Pelodiscus sinensis: one gene and its partners. Each later gene encodes a partner of the first gene's protein in a complex. Links are inferred from orthologs where the notes say so. Each region holds a gene or a part of one and is shown in the gene's direction. Other genes may lie near its edges.

What was found.
Region 2: NUP160 (region 1) and NUP188 share a complex: the UniProt entries of both Homo sapiens proteins name them as parts of the nuclear pore complex. The link is inferred for Pelodiscus sinensis from reciprocal best matches to the Homo sapiens genes NUP160 and NUP188.
Region 3: NUP160 (region 1) and CETN3 share a complex: the UniProt entries of both Homo sapiens proteins name them as parts of the nuclear pore complex. The link is inferred for Pelodiscus sinensis from reciprocal best matches to the Homo sapiens genes NUP160 and CETN3.

The regions. Positions count from the first base shown.
Region 1 is NC_134714.1:129,151,353-129,155,098, reverse strand, and holds the start of NUP160 (nuclear pore complex protein Nup160), read left to right. Parts: upstream 1-780; 5' UTR 781-847; coding exon 848-944; intron 945-2,356; coding exon 2,357-2,465; intron 2,466-2,925; coding exon 2,926-3,136; intron 3,137-3,746. UniProt on the Homo sapiens protein: Functions as a component of the nuclear pore complex (NPC). Involved in poly(A)+ RNA transport.
Region 2 is NC_134732.1:11,927,322-11,931,067, forward strand, and holds the start of NUP188 (nucleoporin NUP188), read left to right. Parts: upstream 1-1,198; 5' UTR 1,199-1,299; coding exon 1,300-1,325; intron 1,326-1,620; exon of another isoform or gene 1,621-1,663; intron 1,664-1,689; exon of another isoform or gene 1,690-1,768; intron 1,769-3,746. UniProt on the Homo sapiens protein: Component of the nuclear pore complex (NPC), a complex required for the trafficking across the nuclear envelope. Required for proper protein transport into the nucleus.
Region 3 is NC_134716.1:74,604,477-74,608,222, forward strand, and holds the start of CETN3 (centrin-3), read left to right. Parts: upstream 1-1,581; 5' UTR 1,582-1,722; coding exon 1,723-1,739; intron 1,740-3,746. UniProt on the Homo sapiens protein: Plays a fundamental role in microtubule-organizing center structure and function. As a component of the TREX-2 complex, involved in the export of mRNAs to the cytoplasm through the nuclear pores.

The DNA.
Region 1 (3,746 bases):
CAAAGGGGTTTAGCCACATAGTGCACTCTCTAGCCTTGTGGTTAGGAGACTGGTCTGGGATGTTAGAGACCCTGGCGCAAATCTTTCAGAGCAAGTTAGACAGGGAGGCTCTGTCAGGGAGGAGCTAAATCAAGGGTGGGGAACCTAACGTCCAGGGGCTGCATGGGGCCCTCGGTTTGCCTGGATCTGGCCCCAAGGCTTGGGGCTCCTGTGGTGGCCCTCCAGTCCCCCCTGCCACCCGCTGCCCCACTGTGGGGCTGGAGCACACAAAATCTACTAGGCTGGGCCCCCCTAGGCTCTGGTGTGGAGGGAAATGTGAGGAGGGTCTTTCTTCTTCCGTCGGGGGCCACCTCAGTGCAGCCCTCGAGTGGTTTTTCGGTGGCTCAGTGGCTCTGGCTCAAGAGAAGCTCCCCACCCCTTAGCTAGACGGGGCGTGGTGGTCTCTGGAGGTCCCCCCCGCGCTGGGGCTCTATGATGCTCAGGGCTGGTGCCTGGGGGGGGCTTGCTCAAGTTTGGCTACTTTGCACCCCCCGGGGCGACTGGTGCCTGTAGACAGAAGGGTCCGGGGGGGGGGGCAGTGCACGCATGAGCGCGAGCCGCCCGCCCAGGCAGGGGGAATCCTCGTCCTCGCGCGCCACATGGGGGGGGGGGGGTTTGGCCGAACGCGGCAGTCCCGGGCGCGCGCTGCAGGCACGTGGCGCGGTGCGGCCCCTGACGTCACAAGAATCCTTGGGTGGCTCCCGCAGGGGGCCGGGAAGGGGCGGGGCCTCAGCCGAGGGCCCCGCCCCTTGCGCCTCGGTCCCGTCCCCGGCTTCCCGTGGGGCCGCGCGGCGCGCGGGAAGGGAAGATGGCGGCGGCGCTGGCCGAGCGGAGCTGCCTGGAGCTGAGCGGGGCCGAGCGCGGCCCGCGCCGCCGCGTCCGGGAGCTCGCGCTGAGCCCGCCAGGTAGCGGGGCCCGCCTGGGACACCCCCTCCCCGCATCGGCTCCCCAGCCCCATCTGGCCCCGCCCCCCAGCACCTGGCCCCGCCCCCAAGCAGCTGCCCCGCCCCCCCAGCTCCTGCCTGGCCGCCCCCCCCCCCCCGCAGCTCCTACCCGACCCCAGCCCCGGGGCATCCCTGCAGCCTCCTCCCTGCCCCGCCCCAGACACCTCCTGCCAGTAGCCCCCATCCCAGCCCCCCGCCTGCTCCTCCCAGCCCCCCCAACGCACTCCCCTCCAGTCCCCTCCAGTCCCCCAACGCACTCCCCTCCAGTCCCCCAACGCACTCCCCTCCAGTCCCCCCAGTCCCCCAACGCACTCCCCTCCAGTCCCCCCAACGCACTCCCCTCCAGTCCCCCCAACGCACTCCCCTCCAGTCCCCCCAACCCCCCAACGCACTCCCCTCCAGTCCCCCAACGCACTCCCCTCCAGTCCCCCAACGCACTCCCCTCCAGTCCCCCCAGTCCCCCAACGCACTCCCCTCCAGTCCCCCCAACGCACTCCCCTCCAGTCCCCCAACGCACTCCCCTCCAGTCCCCCCAGTCCCCCAACGCACTCCCCTCCAGTCCCCCCAACGCACTCCCCTCCAGTCCCCCCAACGCACTCCCCTCCAGTCCCCCCAACCCCCCAACGCACTCCCCTCCAGTCCCCCAACGCACTCCCCTCCAGTCCCCCCAACCCCCCAACGCACTCCCCTCCAGTCCCCCCAACCCCCCAACGCACTCCCCTCCAGTCCCCCAACGCACTCCCCTCCAGTCCCCCCAACCCCCCAACGCACTCCCCTCCAGTCCCCTCCAGTCCCCCAACGCACTCCCCTCCAGTCCCCCAACGCACTCCCCTCCAGTCCCCCCAACCCCCCAACGCACTCCCCTCCAGTCCCCCAACGCACTCCCCTCCAGTCCCCCCAACCCCCCAACGCACTCCCCTCCAGTCCCCCAACGCACTCCCCTCCAGTCCCCCCAACCCCCCAACGCACTCCCCACCTGCCCCCCAACCCGCCCCCCAATGCACTCCCCTCCAGCCCCCCAATGCACTCCCCTCCAGCCCCCCAACGCACTCCCCACCTGCCCCCCCAACCTGCCCCCCAATGCACTCCCCTCCAGCCCCCCAACGCACTCCCCACCTGCCCCCCCAACCTGCCCCCAATGCACTCCCCTCCAGCCCCCCAATGCACTCCCCACCTGCCCCCCAACCTGCCCCCCCAACGCACTCCCCGCCAGCCCCCCAACGCACTCCCCGCCAGCCCCCTCCGCTCCTCAGACACCCTCACTCTGCCTCTTTGCCTGCCCCCCCAGCTCTCGTGACACCCCCCCTCTGCCCCTGAGTGTTGCACCCTCCCACTCTGCTTACACTGACCCTTCTCTCCCTCTCCCCCCACAGGTGTCAGTGCAGGCTCCGGAGCTGGGCGCTATGCAGACAGCGCCGGTGGGTTCTGCTACCAGGAGAGCGCCCAGCTGGTGTCAGTCACCCGGAACCGCTTTATTCATTGGTAAATGGTGGGGAGACTACATGGGTATCCGAATCAGAGGCAGCAAGGGGCAGGGGGGGGGATTGCCTGTAGTCTACAAGATTAACTGAGAGGCCCAGGCTACGTGTTGTCATCCCTAATTTGAGCACATGCTCAACTGCTTTGCTGAATGGGTTGAGCTTTTGCATGGAGGTCCTGAGAAATCAGTGGGAATAAGCAGAGTCTGTGGCTAGGTTGATGTGAGGAAATTAGGTCAGTGTAACTGTGTCATACAGAAAGAGTTGACAAATCTATATCTCCAAGCAATACAGTTAAACTGATCTAACCCCTAGTTTAGACAGCACTATGTCCACCAGTTGGAGAAGCCCTCTTGCTGGGAAAGTGCTGCAGCGATGCCGCTCCAGTGTTCTAAGTGTAGACCTGCCCTGTAAGTCTAAAGGCTTTGTAATCATGAAGATAAAAAGCTTTTTCCTGTTTTCAGGACCGCTTCCGGAGATACTTTGGAGCTGGTAGAGGAATCGCTGGATATAAATCTCCTGAATAATGCCATTCGGCTCAAAATCCAGAACTGCAGCCTCTTACCTGGAGGGGTGCATGTGTGTGAAACGCAGAATCTCGTCGTCATCTTGATTGTGACCAATCAGACTGTGCACCGTCTGGTCCTGCCGCACCCTGCTCGCATGTACAGGAGTGTAAGTAGTCGAGGTGGAAATAACTGCGTGCTTGCTTTGAGATAGTTTATTAGAATTACTTTCTCGAAACAAACTGAAAACTTTTAGAATCAATTATTGGTCTTGGCATGAACGAAGCTCTGGCCTGGGTTGTTGGAATGAACTTTGATGGAAAGTGATCTGAAAGCTGTAGTTTTTCTATTGAGCACTTTCTTGTATTTTTAAAAACCCTGGAGCATTTTTAGCGTACAAACTGGCTGAAATAGTAGTGCAGATACCACTCTGGATATTGCATGTACGTGTGAAATACATGCCTGTGCTAATATGCTTTTTGAATACAAAGGTTAGGACTTTCAAAGGATTTTAGGGAGTTAGGCACCCAAATCCATGGGAACTTAAACATGGGGACCTAAATTGCTTAAAATCTTTGGCCATTACCATTTCAAGAAATGTAGAGTAGGAGTGCAAGCTCAGAGGGGTCTCTATCACAAACGCTTCATGTAAATAGTCACTTGTGCAACTGTGATTCCCATGTGTTTCTGCTGGGACGCCTGTAGAAATATGACACGCATTCTTAGTTCCCAAACTAAATGATTCCAAATCATCTTGGTCATCTCGTCTGACCTCCTAG
Region 2 (3,746 bases), on another chromosome or scaffold:
ACCAGGCTGCATCCTCCGCCCAGCCTGGGCCAGAGCTTGGGGGACCTGGTGCTGCATGGGCACTCCTGGAGGCAGGAGCAGGAGCAGATTGGGGGTAGGGTATCTGGCTAGGAGGGGTAGGGTTGTCAGGTGTCCGGTTTTGTACCGGACAGTCTGGTATTTTCTAATTAGGTAAGTTTTATTATTACTGAGGTTTATCAGTCTGTAGCTGCGAACTGCCTGGTTGGTAGATGTGCTCACGCTGCCTGAGCGTGTCTACCAGCCAAGCAGTTCGCAACTACTCAAGGGAGGGTATGGGGGACAAAATGGAATCCCTGGGGCCAGACTCATTTGTGTAGCTTGGTCTGCATGTGCCCGGGTCAGTCCCGCCTCCCGCTTCTCCTCCCGATCTCCCCCGTCCAGCCCTGCTTCCAGTGGCCGGTTCCCCACCCTACCTCCATCCACCGATCTCCCCCGCTCCCCCCGACCTCCTCCCAGCCGGCCAATTCTCCCCCACTTCTCCTCCTGATCTCCCTTGGCCAGCCCCACTGTCCCCGTCCAGCCCTGCTTCCGTAGGCTGGTTCTCCCATCCTCCTCCTCCCAATCTCCCCCGGCCAGCCCCCCACCCCCTGCTTCCGCCGGCCCGCCTCCCCTCCATCTCCGCCGGACAGCCCCGCTGCCCCCAAGCCTGCTTCCCGGCGGCCGGTTCCCCCCCACCAGGCCTCCTCCCAGCCCGCCCCGCTCTCCTCCCGGCAGCCACGCCACAGCCCATAGTTTAGGAAACGCTGCCCCAGCTAGTGTAGGAGACAAAGGGACTCTCCTTCAGGAGCTCGCAGTGACAGGCTCCCCCCCCCGCTACACTCTAGTTCATCTTCACAGCCCCATAGGCGCTATAACACCCTTAACCTGGCCCCACAGCGGACACGCCCCCTCGCAGTTCACTCCGCGCCCCCTACACATCCCCGCAGCGCAGCCCCCTTCTCCCGCTCCACACTTCACCCGTTACCCTGCCCTTGGCACCTACAGGGCTCTACAGCAGCCGTCTCGGCTCTCGCGCACAGCAGCGCCCGCCCCCAGCCGCCTCCGCGCTATGCCTCCCTTAGCCCCAGTATAATTCGACAGGGAGCCCTTGACAGGGCCCGCTCTATACATCTGCCCATGGCAGCTCCCTGACTAACTCACCTCACTGGACGGCGCCATCTTGCGGCCCCTGTCCGTCACGTGGTTGGGAGCCCGCGGGGCGGAGGGAAGAGCGGGTCCGCATCACGTGATGCAGGTGGCTGTGCGGCGGGTAACGGGTCACGTGAGAGGGGAGCGAAGATGGCGGTCGGCGGGCTGTGCGCGAGGTAGGGGAACGCGGTGCCGCTGAGGGAACTTTCCCCTACCCCGACACTCACCCGCATCGGGGCTAGGCGCCGGGCCAAGGAGCTCGTGTTTAAACGGCAACTGGGGAAGGAGGGGGAGAGGGGGCAAGTCCTGCCCCGCCGTGCCCCCGGCTGGTAATTTCCCCCCAAAAGAGGCTCCTCCCACTGACCCCAGCCCATGCGAGAGGCTCCTCCCCATGACCCCGATCCTCAACTGCTCCCCCTCAGGAGAGGCCCCTCCCCCCCAACCCGGTGACCCGCTCTAGCGGCCACTTACGGAGCATAGTTCCCACTGCCTCTGTCCTGCCCCGGAGCGGAGCTCACCCCCCCCCCCCCCGCTGCGCACGCACCCGGGGCCTCCTGCGTGGAAGCGGCAGGCAGCGGCTCACGCCACGTGCTAGCCATTTCGCGGATAGAGTGGCCCTGTGAGTGCCCTAGGCTGGCGCGCGCTCTGCTCTCTGCCCCATTGGGATGGAATCTGTCCGGGCACCGGCGTCCCTTTGCTCCCAGCCTGCTGCGTGCTTGGGCCTGTGACCACGCTCCACTGGGACTCCCCCTCCCCCGAGCCCCTAGGGCTGCTCTGCTAGTGGGAATCCCTGCTCTCTTTCCCACCCGTCCAGATGAGCTGAGGCGACTTTCTCTGCTCCTGCCTGCGGACATCAGAATAAAGTTCTCCAGGAGAGTCATGAAATCTATATAGGCTATGTCTACACTGCAGGTTTTTTGCACAAGAACACTGCACGTGTGTACTTGAGCAAGTAACAAAACAGGGCTTCTTCCAGAAGAGTTATTCCTCTCCCCACGAGGAATAAGCCCTCTTGCGCAGGAGCTCTTCCACAAGAGGACAGTGTAGACAGGCAACATGAATTTCTTGCACAAGAAACCCCTATGGCTAAAATGGCCATCAGAGCTTTCTTGTGCAAGAGAGCATCCACGCTGCCACGGAGGCTCTTGCGCAAAAGCACATCTCTTCTGCAATAGCACATGGCAGTGTGGACGCTCTCTTGTGCAAGAACTTTTGCACAAGAACTCTTATGCAGAATTGGTGTAGTGTAGTGTAGATGTAGCCTAAGCGTTTATTCCATTGAGGAGATCTTGGAAATAGAAGTATATGAGAGCTGAAGCGGACTAGATGACATATGGGGCCGTATTCTACTTCCATATGGTCCTGCTCTGTCCCCTCATGATGTAATTAACTCATGCATCCCTGTTTGGAACTTTTCCTGCTTAGTGATTGTTTGAAGGGGAATTGGTGAGGTACTGTTGTAAATCCCCAAGAAGCCATCTATTTTTACTAAATAACATTAAATATATTTCAGCATTTTACTAGCATTAATCATGGCCAAGTTAAATTATCAGTTTACATGAAGGCCTCCACCTCTCCTCTCTATAACAAAACAAGTGGTTCCCGATCTCTTAGGGCCACTGCAGCAATTTATTAAACACTTAATGCCCCAAACACACCAGCAATACTTTCCCTCTGGAGCTTGGGCTGCTCTTAATTTTAGTTTTGTATCCTAGTCTGGTGAATTAAGAGTTTGTACAGCTGAGTGAGAGGTGGAAGTTGTGGCTTAAGAGAGACTGACTCAAGATTAAGTTGTCTGGTGTTTGGGGGAGCCTATTGGAACCAATCACCAAGCTTTTGTAACCCCTAACATGAAAATCCTAAGTAAACTACAATCCAATTATAATGTTCCTCCTAACTTCAGTGTTTGGAAAGGTAATATATTCTTTAGCAGTGACAGGAAATATTTGGAAAAAAAGGTACAAGGGATTAGCAATTAATTCATATTTTCCTTGTGTTCCTTTTGTTCTCTGTCTCTCTTAGAAAGCTAAGTAGTGAGTGTCATTTAACAAATATAGAACCGTTTAAGGGTTTTGCTGCATAATTGAAATCTCAGTTTACATCAGAGTTGCACATCTTTAAAAGGGGACATGTTGGTTGAATCTGTGTACAACATTGCTGTGTGTATGACACACACAAAATTGCATATTATCAATTTTGCTTTGCAAAATATGATAGAGTATAGTCTGATTTTAGAGTTTTAACCTCCAGAAGCTTTAAAGACTTGAGGCCAGAGATTCGTTTTTTGCATCACAGGGATAGTTTATCATGAACGTGATATTCTGGGATCTGATTTTCACTTTTAATTGAACACCACATTTCCTCGAGTGTACAAAATATACATAGTAATTTTTGCTCTGAATAAGCTGCTTTCCAGGTCACTTTGCACAGAATATGTTCTCATTGTTTTTGGAAATATTTTTGAGACTTGCTGGAAATAAGTACTGTAACACCTCCATACTTGATGGAAAGAAAGTCTGACTCCAAGTAAAATTTGTATGTATTATTTGCAGTACAGTAATGCCGTGGCCCCAGTTGGAAGAGAACCACCATTATTC
Region 3 (3,746 bases), on another chromosome or scaffold:
CCACTATAATGGAAGAAGCCCCCCACGAAACAGAAGGTATATGTGAACTCGTTCAAGGCTTTTGGCTGAATGCTGTTTTGGGCAGCGATGTAAGTAAGAAGAGAGATCAGACAGACACAGAAAACAGACAAAAAGAGAGGGAAGGAGAAGCAAGAAAGACAAGCAGGATCATGTGGTACAGTGTGACTGGAAAAAGCTAGAGCACGCTTTTGGGTCTGATTTGACTAAAGAGACTTGGAGACTGTACAGTATTCTTGATTCTACCTACAGAATCACAGGACTTTGTATGTTCCCTGTTAATAAACAAGATTCCTTCAACTTTTATTCCTAACTGGAATATCATCAGGGCCCTTTCTGCTGACCAGGTGAAAAGGGACAACAATCGCATGTTTTGTAATATCAAATAATCCCGATAATTATTTAATGATTATCATACTAACTTGTATAAATGTATGCATAGTTTTCACCTAGAGATGTTAGCGTATACCTATTTACCGATAATTCTGGGCTCACTGCTTAATCCTCCTGATGGTTACATGCACCTTCCCAACTTCCTCCGTATTAGAAGCAGGAAGAGGTGGGTGCCAGCTCCACAGTAGCCACTCCCCCTACCGGGGGAAGGGAGAAAGCAAGTGGGAGCCAGTACATGGAGGAGCCAATTTTTAAGTTGGCTTTCCATGTGTGCCAGCTCTTGCAGAGCTGCTTCCCACCCAGGCAGCAGCACTGCAGGGGGGGAAGGGCAGCTGGCTTTTAAGTTGGCTCCCTCCCAAGCACCAGCTTCCATCTACCCCCCCCACCCCCTCGCCAGTGCTGCCTCTGTGGGAGGCAACAGGGGATGGCAGGTGGCTCCATTGGAGCTGACTGCCCACCTGCCGCAGCACTGCTGCCTCTGATACAGAGGCACAGCACTGGGGGGGAAGGGGGAAAGGACAGCCTGGCGGGAGTTGGTACGTGTCCTATTTTCACCCTCATACAGATCTATTTCAGATACCAGCAACTGCAACCTTCAATCCACAGCTCTAAAACTGAAGTGGAACAAGGAACTGGTAGAAAAAAAATGCTATTATTCAATATATAGACCAACCTGTGCTACAAGGAACCACAACACACACATTTTCCAGTGGATTACACTGGATAGGTGTGCGATAGCAGGGGAATGCTGAGCATTATTTACTTCTATTATTGTTCCAGTAGCACATTATGGTCTTGTGGTTACAGCACATCCAAATATGAGGGAATGAACACGTAATGTCTGGATGTGAAGACATGACCATCTACCATTTCCCAGCGCCGCAGACTCACAGGCGGGCCTGCAAAGCTCAGCCAGGGTGGACTGACGCCACAACGGAAGGGCGGAGTCTCCAAGATACATCCGGGACTCTCCCCATTTCCCACCGCTTTTGAAATTTAATCGTCCCTTCGCCAATGCAAAGCCCTGGGGCATTCTGGGTAAAAACGGAAGCTGCGTACCTCAACCAAACTAAATAGAAGGCGGGCAGTCACATTGGCTGGCAAGCATTTTAACCAATAAGAGGGTACGATAGAGAGGAGGGCGGGAGGAAGCGGGTGCTCAGCCAGTTAGCTTAGCGACAGAAGGGAGCACCGCTACTAGTGACTGCATTGTATCGTGTTTCCAAGGGGAGCTAGAGCGGCGCCCTTGCTGGTGTCCAGTGCCGGTGGCGGCGGGGGAAGCCCAGTCCGGCCGGGGGTGGGGACGCAACCATGAGTTTGGCTTTCAGGTCTGTACGGGCGGAGAGAGGCGCTGGAGTCTGGCCCCAGGCCTCATCTTGCGGGCTGCGGGGCGCGCGGGCCCAGTGGGCTAAAGCGGGGGGGGGCTACGAGAAAAGCCGCTGTTGCTCACTGGGGGGGCGGCTTGGTGCCCCTCCCCCGGCCCTATACTGGGGCGCTGGAGTCCCAGCTCTGTCCTTTGTCGCTAGCTGTTGTCTGCTGCAGCCTTTCCTTGTGTCAGGGCAGTGCCCCTCCGACGAGACGTGGGCTTAGGGCTTTGCAGGGCTCCTGCCCATTTCAAGGAAGTAAAGAATCCCAGGGTCCTGCTGGATGCCGAGCAGAGCGCCTGACGAGGAGCATGGCAGCAGCTAGGTGACTTGCAGCCCTCCTCCTGCACGCTCGGTGTCCTGCCCCGTCTTCATCTGACAGGAACCGCCCCCGAGCAATAGTCATTAAGATTAGCTAAGATTTAGCCGCTCAGGATGATCCTGCGAGAAGATTAATGCAGACTTCATGGACAGACTGCCCCTTAATCTCTACAGACTGTTATTTAATGAGGGGTGTTGCCCTGTTTATGTGCGAGACCCATACAATTCAGATTTTTTTTGGAACTGTTTTGTTTTGAATACTTCATTGTTAAAACACATTTAGTTTTAAATAGCCATAACTTTGGAATGGCTTTGAATAAATTGCTTTTGCTGGCGAGAACAGGTAAGGCATCAAAAATAAATCCAGAATCTAGTGTTAAGATATCTTATCTGTCGGCATTTCACATACTATCGGCACAGTAAATAGTACTATACATTAGGAATGTAAAACCATTTAAATGGCTAACCAATAAGCATCGGTTTCCATACAGTTACACAGTTAACCTTTTACAGACCTACCCTGCAGCAGAAGAAGTGGGTAAAATTGGGTCAGTTTCCCAGGTGTCATGGTAGATAGTCTATCACTGACTATTTTTAAATCAAATTTGATCTTTTTCCTAAATAGATGCTCGGAGAATTATTTTTTTGAGAGTTCTATGGCCCATGATATATAAGTGGTCAGACTAGATGATTACAGTGGTCCCTTTTGGTTTTAGAGTAGAATCTATGAAGGATGGCTCTAAACATCCTTTCCAAGTCCACCTTCTGTAGCTAACTGTGAGCTGTTTTAGTTCATTCTTAAATTTAGAAGCCGAGAGGCTGAAATAAAAAAAATGTCAATGGCTAGAGTACATAAATCCTACATAAATTCTTCAGCAGCTAAACATAGTAAGAGTGCAAGGTGAGTTTCATTGGTGCAAACCTTGGTTTTTCTTGTGTATATATATTTGCACAGGTACAACTACATTTTCTGAGCTTTAAGACCCCCAGCTTCTTGCTGTGGGAAGAAGCCAGACAGGATTACGAAAGCGCTGCATTCTGGGACAGCTCTCCCTGGCCAGGAAGAGATGGAAGGGGAGGTGGATCTGTGCTCTACCATTGCCCCTCCCTGGGCTAGATCCACATTCATTGCCAGTAGTTAAGAAAAACTCTGTCCCTGCACTCAACTGCAGGCTTTTTCCCCTTCCTCCATTGGCCAGGAATCGAGGCAAATGCAGAATGGTCCAGAACCACCAACTTGCTCCTGCACCCTACCTCCTGTCCAGAGCCTGCTCCGTGGCAGCTCCCTCCTGCACACCGAAGTAAGGATGCTAAATAACAATTAATTTACTTGTTAAGTAGTCCATGGAATTTCCCTTGACTACTTGACTAGTAATTAATCAGTTTTAAGCTGGTTCTCCCTGAGCACCAGTTCCCACGTGCCTCCCTGTGCTACTGCCTCTGTGAGAGGGGGAGGGTCAGTCGGCTATGTGGGTGCCAGCTTAAAAGCAAAGGCACTTCTGCCTGCATCCTCAGCAGTTGTTTTTCACAGCAGAGCTGTTAGGGTAGCTGTAGGAGAAGGAACTGCAGTGGTAAAAGGAAACTGTCAATTTTGGGCCAGGCCTCAGGCCACCCTAAGGGGCCTCATCACCTAAGCCAGCCTTTTGAAGA